Oryctolagus cuniculus: one gene and its partner. The protein of the gene in region 2 purifies or fractionates together with the protein of the main gene of each other region. This does not show direct contact. Links are inferred from orthologs where the notes say so. Each region holds a gene or a part of one and is shown on either strand. Other genes may lie near its edges. The genes, in order: DYNC1I1 and NDEL1.

What was found.
Region 1: the proteins of NDEL1 (region 2) and DYNC1I1 purify together in Homo sapiens (affinity purification with western blotting; 3 studies listed by BioGRID and IntAct, with this or other methods). This does not show direct contact. The link is inferred for Oryctolagus cuniculus from reciprocal best matches to the Homo sapiens genes NDEL1 and DYNC1I1.

What each region holds. Positions count from the first base shown.
Region 1 is NC_091447.1:40,174,678-40,178,492, forward strand, and holds part of DYNC1I1 (cytoplasmic dynein 1 intermediate chain 1), read right to left. Parts: intron 908-3,815; coding exon 763-907; intron 1-762. UniProt on the Homo sapiens protein: Acts as one of several non-catalytic accessory components of the cytoplasmic dynein 1 complex that are thought to be involved in linking dynein to cargos and to adapter proteins that regulate dynein function.
Region 2 is NC_091448.1:52,861,426-52,865,340, reverse strand, and holds the start of NDEL1 (nuclear distribution protein nudE-like 1), read right to left. Parts: upstream 2,401-3,915; 5' UTR 2,203-2,400; intron 1-2,202. UniProt on the Homo sapiens protein: Required for organization of the cellular microtubule array and microtubule anchoring at the centrosome. May regulate microtubule organization at least in part by targeting the microtubule severing protein KATNA1 to the centrosome.

The DNA of each region.
Region 1 (3,815 bases), on a different chromosome or scaffold from region 2:
CAGAAATCCCAGCAGCACTGCCCATCAACCTGGGTTCTCTGTTGCCGACTCCTTTTTTCACCTTTCTTACATCAAATCAATAGTCAGTTTCTGTGGTTTTTCTCTCAAAATGGTTCTCAATCCATCAACTTCTCTCCACCCAGAGCTACAGGCCTGTGTCACTCTCATCTCTCCCCTGGACCACTGCCCCGTCCTCCCAGATGCCCTTTGCTTCTTGCTCTCAAACACAGCAAGGATTACCTTTCACAACACACATAATGCAGGGGCCTTTATCAGACATGAAAACTTCAAAGGCTCCAAAAACCAACCCACCACCCTCCCCGCCTTGCAAAACACAACACAAAATCCAAACAACCCAAGTTGCACATCTTATGTTTTGATAGGTACATAGGTCAATGAGTAAGTACTACAAAGACCCAGAAGGTTGACACGGGGTTGATGAGTGGGAAAGCACTGAGACAGAGACAAGGAAGGGGAGGTTGAGGGTGGGTTCCTGTAGGTGAAGGAGAATTTCAGATTCAACTTTGATTTTTTTTTTATAATCAGAATATTGCCAAACATAACCCATGTAATCAAAAATAAGAAACAGACTGAGAAAGTCTTGACTACTGCTGGGGCAGTCTGGGCTCACCACCGGATTGGGATTGTAGGATTCCCAACATCAGGTCACGCAGAAGAGCTGATGCCTACAACTCACTCAGGGCCTGAGACACCACCCTCTCCCCGGTATTTTACCCAGGAATTTCACTCGAGTATTCTTACCTTTGTGGTCCACAGCTTGACAGTCCAGTCAAATGACGATGTAACAAACAGGTGAGAGAAATCGATTGGTCCCACTGCCATGTGGCAGTTAATTCCCGTCACTGGCCCTTGGTGACCTTCAAAGACCTCACCAATGCCTGCCTTGCTGCACAAAAAACACATAGGAGAATTTCAGCCACCTTGGCAAAGTCATGGTTGCCTTAGAGAAGCAACTTCCTTTCTGAGCATGACTTCATCATCATTTAGATCAGCAGCCATACACCACCACCACCACCACCCCTCCCACGGTGATCTTTAGACAAGGAAGTTGTCTGCAAGTATGATACATTATTTTTGGTGATTAAGAAAAACCACAGGGGGAAATATAATCTTTTTAACTTTCAGCATTTAATATTTACTTTTATCATCTAATAATTTCCCAGGAGTTCCTCAAATCCTATCACTACCAATGCAGCTATTTGGATAGAAACAAATACACTTAGACCTCGGAGGCTGTTACCTAAGAAGACTATCATATTCTTGAGATGGCATTTTTCATCATGTTCCATTTTAACTGCTTTTGGTGATCCCATCTGCTCTAAAACTCCACACATTCTTGGAGAAATAATTTGTTCTTTCAAGGAAATTCCTTCAGTAGACAGATCTCAAAAAGGCAACACTTTGAGGAAACTTTTGTCATGTTCAACTAATATACATAATCTGATGTCATAAAATATGGAGAAAATGATATATTCTCTTCACTGAGAACTGAAGAGAGATTTGCAAACTCACTGATAAATCCATAAGGGCAGGTGCCTTTCTTGTTGCCAAGTGTCTACACAACGAACGCTCAAGAAAAATTTGTTGAATGAAATGGCATGACAAGGGGTGAGCTATGCCTTCCCCTTTTAGAAGGGTATTTGAGAAATAGCAACACACATTTTTAAAGTTACCTATTTCCAATTTTTAACAAAGCTGGGATTATTTCCAGACTTCTATTATCACATATATGTCTGCATACAAGCACATACAATTTGGAAAATTTGAGAGCATACCAAAATACCATGTTTTAAAGATTCATGTCCAAGTTATAAACATAACAAAGATGAAGGGATTGTAGAATCTCAATATTATGCCTCCACAAGTAAAAATGAATTCAGTTGTTAAAACATTTAGACCACTTAAATTATTAAAACATGTTGAGCACCAATAAATGTCAATGTGCTAAGTAAAATTTAGAATCATGAGCAAAGTGCTACAGCCTGTGTTCCACGTAACAGACACTCAAAAATTGTGCCCAATGAAACTGCCAACAGCAGCTCTACACGTCATCATTTAAATTTGTTCTAATGAACACAAGGAGTGGATCTTTGAAGTGGCCCCTGGTGAGACTCCACTTGCTCTTAACAGCATCCTGAAAAGGTTTATAGGGTGCAAAATGTGGACCTTGTTTAATTTATGGAAGTGGATTTGCACCTTCTCAACATTAGGTCAAAGACAGAAATGCCCCCCTCTCCCTGTAGCCCTATCTGACCCATTTAAAATGTCGACAAAGCTAATGTCTGCTACTCTGTGGCTTTGCCAACATCTGTATTTTACATTTTAGATGAGTAGACCAACGTAGAAAGCACAACCAAGCTAGCTGTAAAGGGAGCTGTGCTGCATGCCACGGGGATCTTTCTTTTGAGCCCTAGTGCCTATTCTGATTGTGCTTCAAAAGGACAGAGTCATGAAACAAAAATTTGCTAATGTGAATATTTCACGTGATGCCTAAGTAAAATATCTGAAAAGTATCAGTGAGTGTGTTGCAACTTCACAGAGAGTTGAGGATCTGAGCAATATCCCAGAGTAAGTCAATAGAAACTAGGCTCTAGTGATTCTTTAAGAGTTATTACATTTTTAAAATGATTTGAAAGGCAGAGTAATGGTCAGGGGGGTGCATGGGGAGAAAGATCGTTCACTTGCTGGTTTACTTCCCAAATGACTCAAAGAACCAGGGCTGGCCAGGAGCTTCTCCATGGTCTCCCACACAGGTGGCAGGAGCCCAAGGACTTTGGCCAACATTTTCTACTTTTCCAGGTGCATTAGCAGGAAGCTGGATCAGAGGCAGGGCAAAGCCTCGACTCAAACCAGCAGTCGGATGTGGGAAGCCAGCATTGCAAGTGGCAGCTTAGCCACTGCATCACAACCCGGCCCTGCCCTACTGATTCTAACCCATGTGTAGCTAGAGCCGCGACTCCATGTTTGGCCCACCGCCTTCTCCGCACCTTTTGTGCCACTAACAAGTATTTAACACCACTTGTGTTAAATATGTGTGTGTTTATCTGTCCCACTGTCATCAGTTTCTTGAGGACAGGAACCAGGTTTAAGTGATCTTTGCTTCACATCATCTAGTAATGTCTTTTGTAAGAGGGGAGCAGATGTTTGCATGAATGAAACATATCAGGTCTTTCTGTGTGTTGATAAAACACTAATGTGTGGTTTTAGCCAGCCTTTATAAAGTACTGAGGCCAGGCATGGAACGGTGAGGCCTATCTTCCCAAGTCATCTGATCATGACCACGTGAGCAGGTAGTACCACTTGTTTCCTCATGCATTACAGCAGGAACCTCGCAGCTTGTATTGCCACGATGGAAACAATCATGTAGCGGAACCACAAAGGCTTCTGCAAATCACAAAAAACACGGATGTGAACGTGGGACCTGCGGTTCCTCATCGAGTCTAAATCAGCTGGGATGAGCCCAAGAGATGAAAAAAAAAATCAATTGAACAAGAACTACTAAAGTGAAAGAGAAATCAATCCCCACTATGAACACACTGAACTTTTCCAAAGGGGAGGCCAGCTGTTCAGTCTTGCATCTGCTTTTACAATCTAGTCCAAACTATTGGATTCCACTTTACTGCCCCTTTTTCCTGGGCCATTTGCTCATCTCTCAATCAAGACAGAGTTCTTACTGTTTGGAAGCTGCATGGTGGTTTGTGTCTCTCACACTGTTCTAGCTTTCCCGAGTGGGAGGAAAGGATCCCAACAGCCCTGTCTATAGTATTCCAATACTGTGCCTGTATCCTCCGTAT
Region 2 (3,915 bases):
CTCTCTCTCTCTCTCTCATACACAGAGAGAGAGAGAGAGAGGGAGTAAGTAATCAGTTTTAAAGTAGGACCTGAAAGAGAGAGGATTCGTGCAAGAGAGTGAGAACTGATTCCTAAGATGATGTTTAGGGTGTCCCAGGACAATAGTATGCAGTAGGACTGGGGGCAGCTAGTCCAGACTGGCGTGATGGGACGAGGCTCCCACGGAGATGTCTCCAAGAGAAAAAAGACAGAAGCTGAGAGATTATCTGATGTGTCAGATCAAATTGACAGGAATTTAATAGCTCTTTTGGAGAGGAGTCAGTGACATGTGTCATAAAAACTAAGGCAACTATCAGCTCCAGGGAAACAAATAGACAAAAGAAAGGGAACGTCATCATCATAATTTATATAGCACCGAGAAAACTTAATACAGTCACAGCGTAACAAACACATATAACATAAGCACAAATACTGACTTAACCAAATTGGTGTTATGCCATATCAGGAGGATGGGGGGACAGTAATGTGGGCAGGGTGAGAGTTTTATACCCTTGCCTTTTACAATAAGAAACCAATAGATCATGATTAACACAGAAAAATAAAGAAATAGCCACATAGGCACTCTATTTGGAAAGAAAAGCAACTAAAAATTTCAAAATATTTGCCTCTGGTAGGGAGAGCCTGGAAGTGGAGGGGTGGGACGTGGAGATGCTGTTTTTCATTGCAAGCTCTGTGTTGCTTTCACAGAGGTAGACGTTGGATTTAAAATAAATGAACCGATAGGGCTTTTCTTAAGGGAGTCTGAACAAATGAGTCAAAAGCGTATCAATGGGGCCAGCGCTGTGGCATAACAGATAAAGCCGCTGCCTGCAGTGCCAGCATCCCATATGGGTGCCAGTTCAAAACCCAGCTGCTCCACTTCGATCCAGCTCTCTGCTATGGTCTGGGAAAGCAGTAGAAGATGGCCCAAGTCCTTGGGTCCCAGTACCCACATGGAGATCTGGAAGAAGCTCCTGGCTCCTGGCTTTGGATTGGCTCAGCTCTGGCCATTGTGGCCATTTGGGGAGCAAACCAGTGGATGGAAGAACTCTCTCTCTCTCTGCCTCTGCCTCTCTGTAACTCTGCCTTTCAAATAAATAAATAAATTTTTTTTTTTTTTTTTTTTGACAGGCAGAGTGGACAGAGAGAGAGACAGAGAGAGAAAGGTCTTCCTTTTTGCCGTTGGTTCACCCTCCAATGGCCGCCGCTGCAGCCGGCGCACCGCGCTGATCCTGGCAGGAGCCAGGAGCCAGGTGCTTTTCCTGGTCTCCCATGGGGTGCAGGGCCCAAGCACCTGGGCCATCCTCCACTGCACTCCCTGGCCATAGCAGAGAGCTGGCCTGGAAGAGGGGCAACCGGGACAGAATCCGGCGCCCCAACCGGGACTCGAACCCGGTGTGCCGGCGCCGCAAGGTGGAGGATTAGCCTATTGAGCCACGGCGCCGGCTCAAATAAATCTTTAAAAAATAATTCCTCATGTAAGGCTAAAAGTCTGTATCCCAAAGTCTTCATTTTTGGGGTACAGATATTCCCCAGTTCTCTGTACTGTATTGTTCCCATTTTTATCAACTATCAGGGAAAAAATATATCTATATATATACTTCCATTTAGAAAATGAAATAAAAGTTACTGTGAGCCCTGAAGAATATATTCTTACAGTTTACAAAACCCCCTCACATTTTCCTGCTTCAGCACCACAAAAACCCAGTGAAACCAGGTGTGTTCCACTTTGCTGATGACAGCCCAGGTTCAGAAGGAAGTATCTGGTCCACAAGCCACCAAGCCAGCCAGCCACGGAGCCAAGGCTCAGTCGCAAGCCCCTCTGTGAGCCAGCACTGTGAGATCACCGTGCAGCACACCAACAGTGGCCCTGCCAGCTCCCCATCACCCATCCCAGCCCAAGGAGCTCCCTCCACAACGCCACAAAAAACAAGTCAAGGTGATCAGAAGCCTAGGAGGATCAGAAAGACACCAAAGCAAACCCCTGTTGTCCACAGGGACACAAACAACTTCACAGACTGACCTTGGCCTCCAACAACCCCCCCAACCACCCACATCCCGAAGGCAGAGGGGGTCCTCAGACACCAGGTCCCCTCCTCCGATGTCTCCCGAGCCAGTGTTCTCCTGACCCAGACCTTGTCCAATCAGCCCCCACCTCCCACTCCCCACCATCCCAAGCTACCTTGTCCTGGGTCCCGGAGCCTTGGCCGCTCACATCCGCAGCAGCCGCAAGGCTTGCGCTGCACCGGCTGAAACAAAGGAGAAGTCAACAGGAAGAGTGAGAATCACCGACCCACAACAGAGACGCAGGACAGGAAGTGGGCGAGAGCCAGGAAGGCTGGGGCCTGCTGTCTCCAAGTGAGGCAACCCCGCCAGGCCCATTGCTCAGTGGGGGGTTGAGCAAGACTGTGGTGCTGCAAGAAATACGGGTCCTGGTTCCTGAGCCAGGCCTTCCACGGCAGGCAGGGGAGCCCCTGGTCTCCCAAGCAAATGCCCGGGCTCTCCCCCACTTTCTGTAAGAGAAGGCGATGAGGGCAGGGCAATGGTGTTTCTATCTCTGTGGTGGCCCCGGCACAGAACCAGTGCAGCCCCGAGCATCAGAGAAACGGCCTGTAAGTCAGACAGAGCCCCGACCTACCTCGTAGCTGAGAGAACAGAAGCGAGTGGCTTTGCCTCTCTGCATCTCATTTTCCCCATCTATAAAACGGAGATAATTCCAGGACTGACCTCAGGGCGTCGTTCAGCGCTTTGTGAGACAGCATGAGTAACCGGCTTCATAGGAGGCAAATTAGTCCCCTTAGTTGTCAGGGGTTGTCCTCTTTCTGCCCCTTTTCCAAACCTGACGCCCTCCCTAAGTCTTAGAGCACCTGGTCTGAAGAGCACCTGCTCCCCCACCCCCACCCCCAGCCACCTGTAGCCTCCACAATGGTCGTAGCCCTCACGTGTCAGTCTCACGCTCCACAAGCAGCACCAGCTGTAAGAACTGTGACTGCAAGCAAATGTGAAAGGAACAGGCTAATAATAGTTACTCAACAAATGCCTGTCAAGGGGCTGGCGCCGTGGCACTTCCTGAGGCACCAGCATCCCGTATGGGTGTTGGTTCAAGTCCAGGCTGCTCTATTTCCCACCCAGCTCCCTGCTAATGCACCTGGGACAGCAGCAGAGGATGGTCCAAGTGCTTGGGTCCCTGCCACCCACATGGGAGACTTGACAGAGCTCCTGGCTTCAGCCTGGATGCAACCATTTGGGAAGTGAACAGCAGATGGGAGATTCTCTCTGTCTCTGTCTGTCTCCTCTTTCTCTCTCTCAACTCTGACTTTCAAATAAATAAATCTTTGAGGAAAAAGGGGGTAGGAGAAGAACTGCTTTTGAGGTCCTTCACTGAGAACGCCTTTCCCAAGGTGGGGATCTTACCTAGGGTCACCCAGGGAAGGTAGGAGCTGCCGGGGGTCTGTTGCTGGATCCCCAGGAACACCCCGCAAAGCACCGGAAGTCATCCCACAGGTGTTTGTGAACCTTAGCGATGTTGTAGAAACAACACCTGGGTAAAGAATGTGGGAAACCTCGGGCACCTGGGCTGAGGGATCCAAGACAGAGGGTGGAGGTCTCCCAGGCAAAGCCCCACACAGAGACGGGGGCAGGATGACCCTCGGCTCCTCTTAACTCCTCCCATCTTCCCCAGAGCCCGGAAAGATGGTGGGGGTGTGTGTGTGCTGAAAGCCCTGGATCTCCTGGAGGGCTGTTCCCGCCTTCGCCTCCCACCAGCTGTAACCCTCGGAGGGGCCCCTGCTGGCCTGGAGCCCTGCTCTCCTCCTGGCAGTCTGTCCTCACTTCCTTGACCCATCCTGAGAGCCGAGATGTCTCCCCCAACCTTTGCTCCCTCCAGCTTACCCCC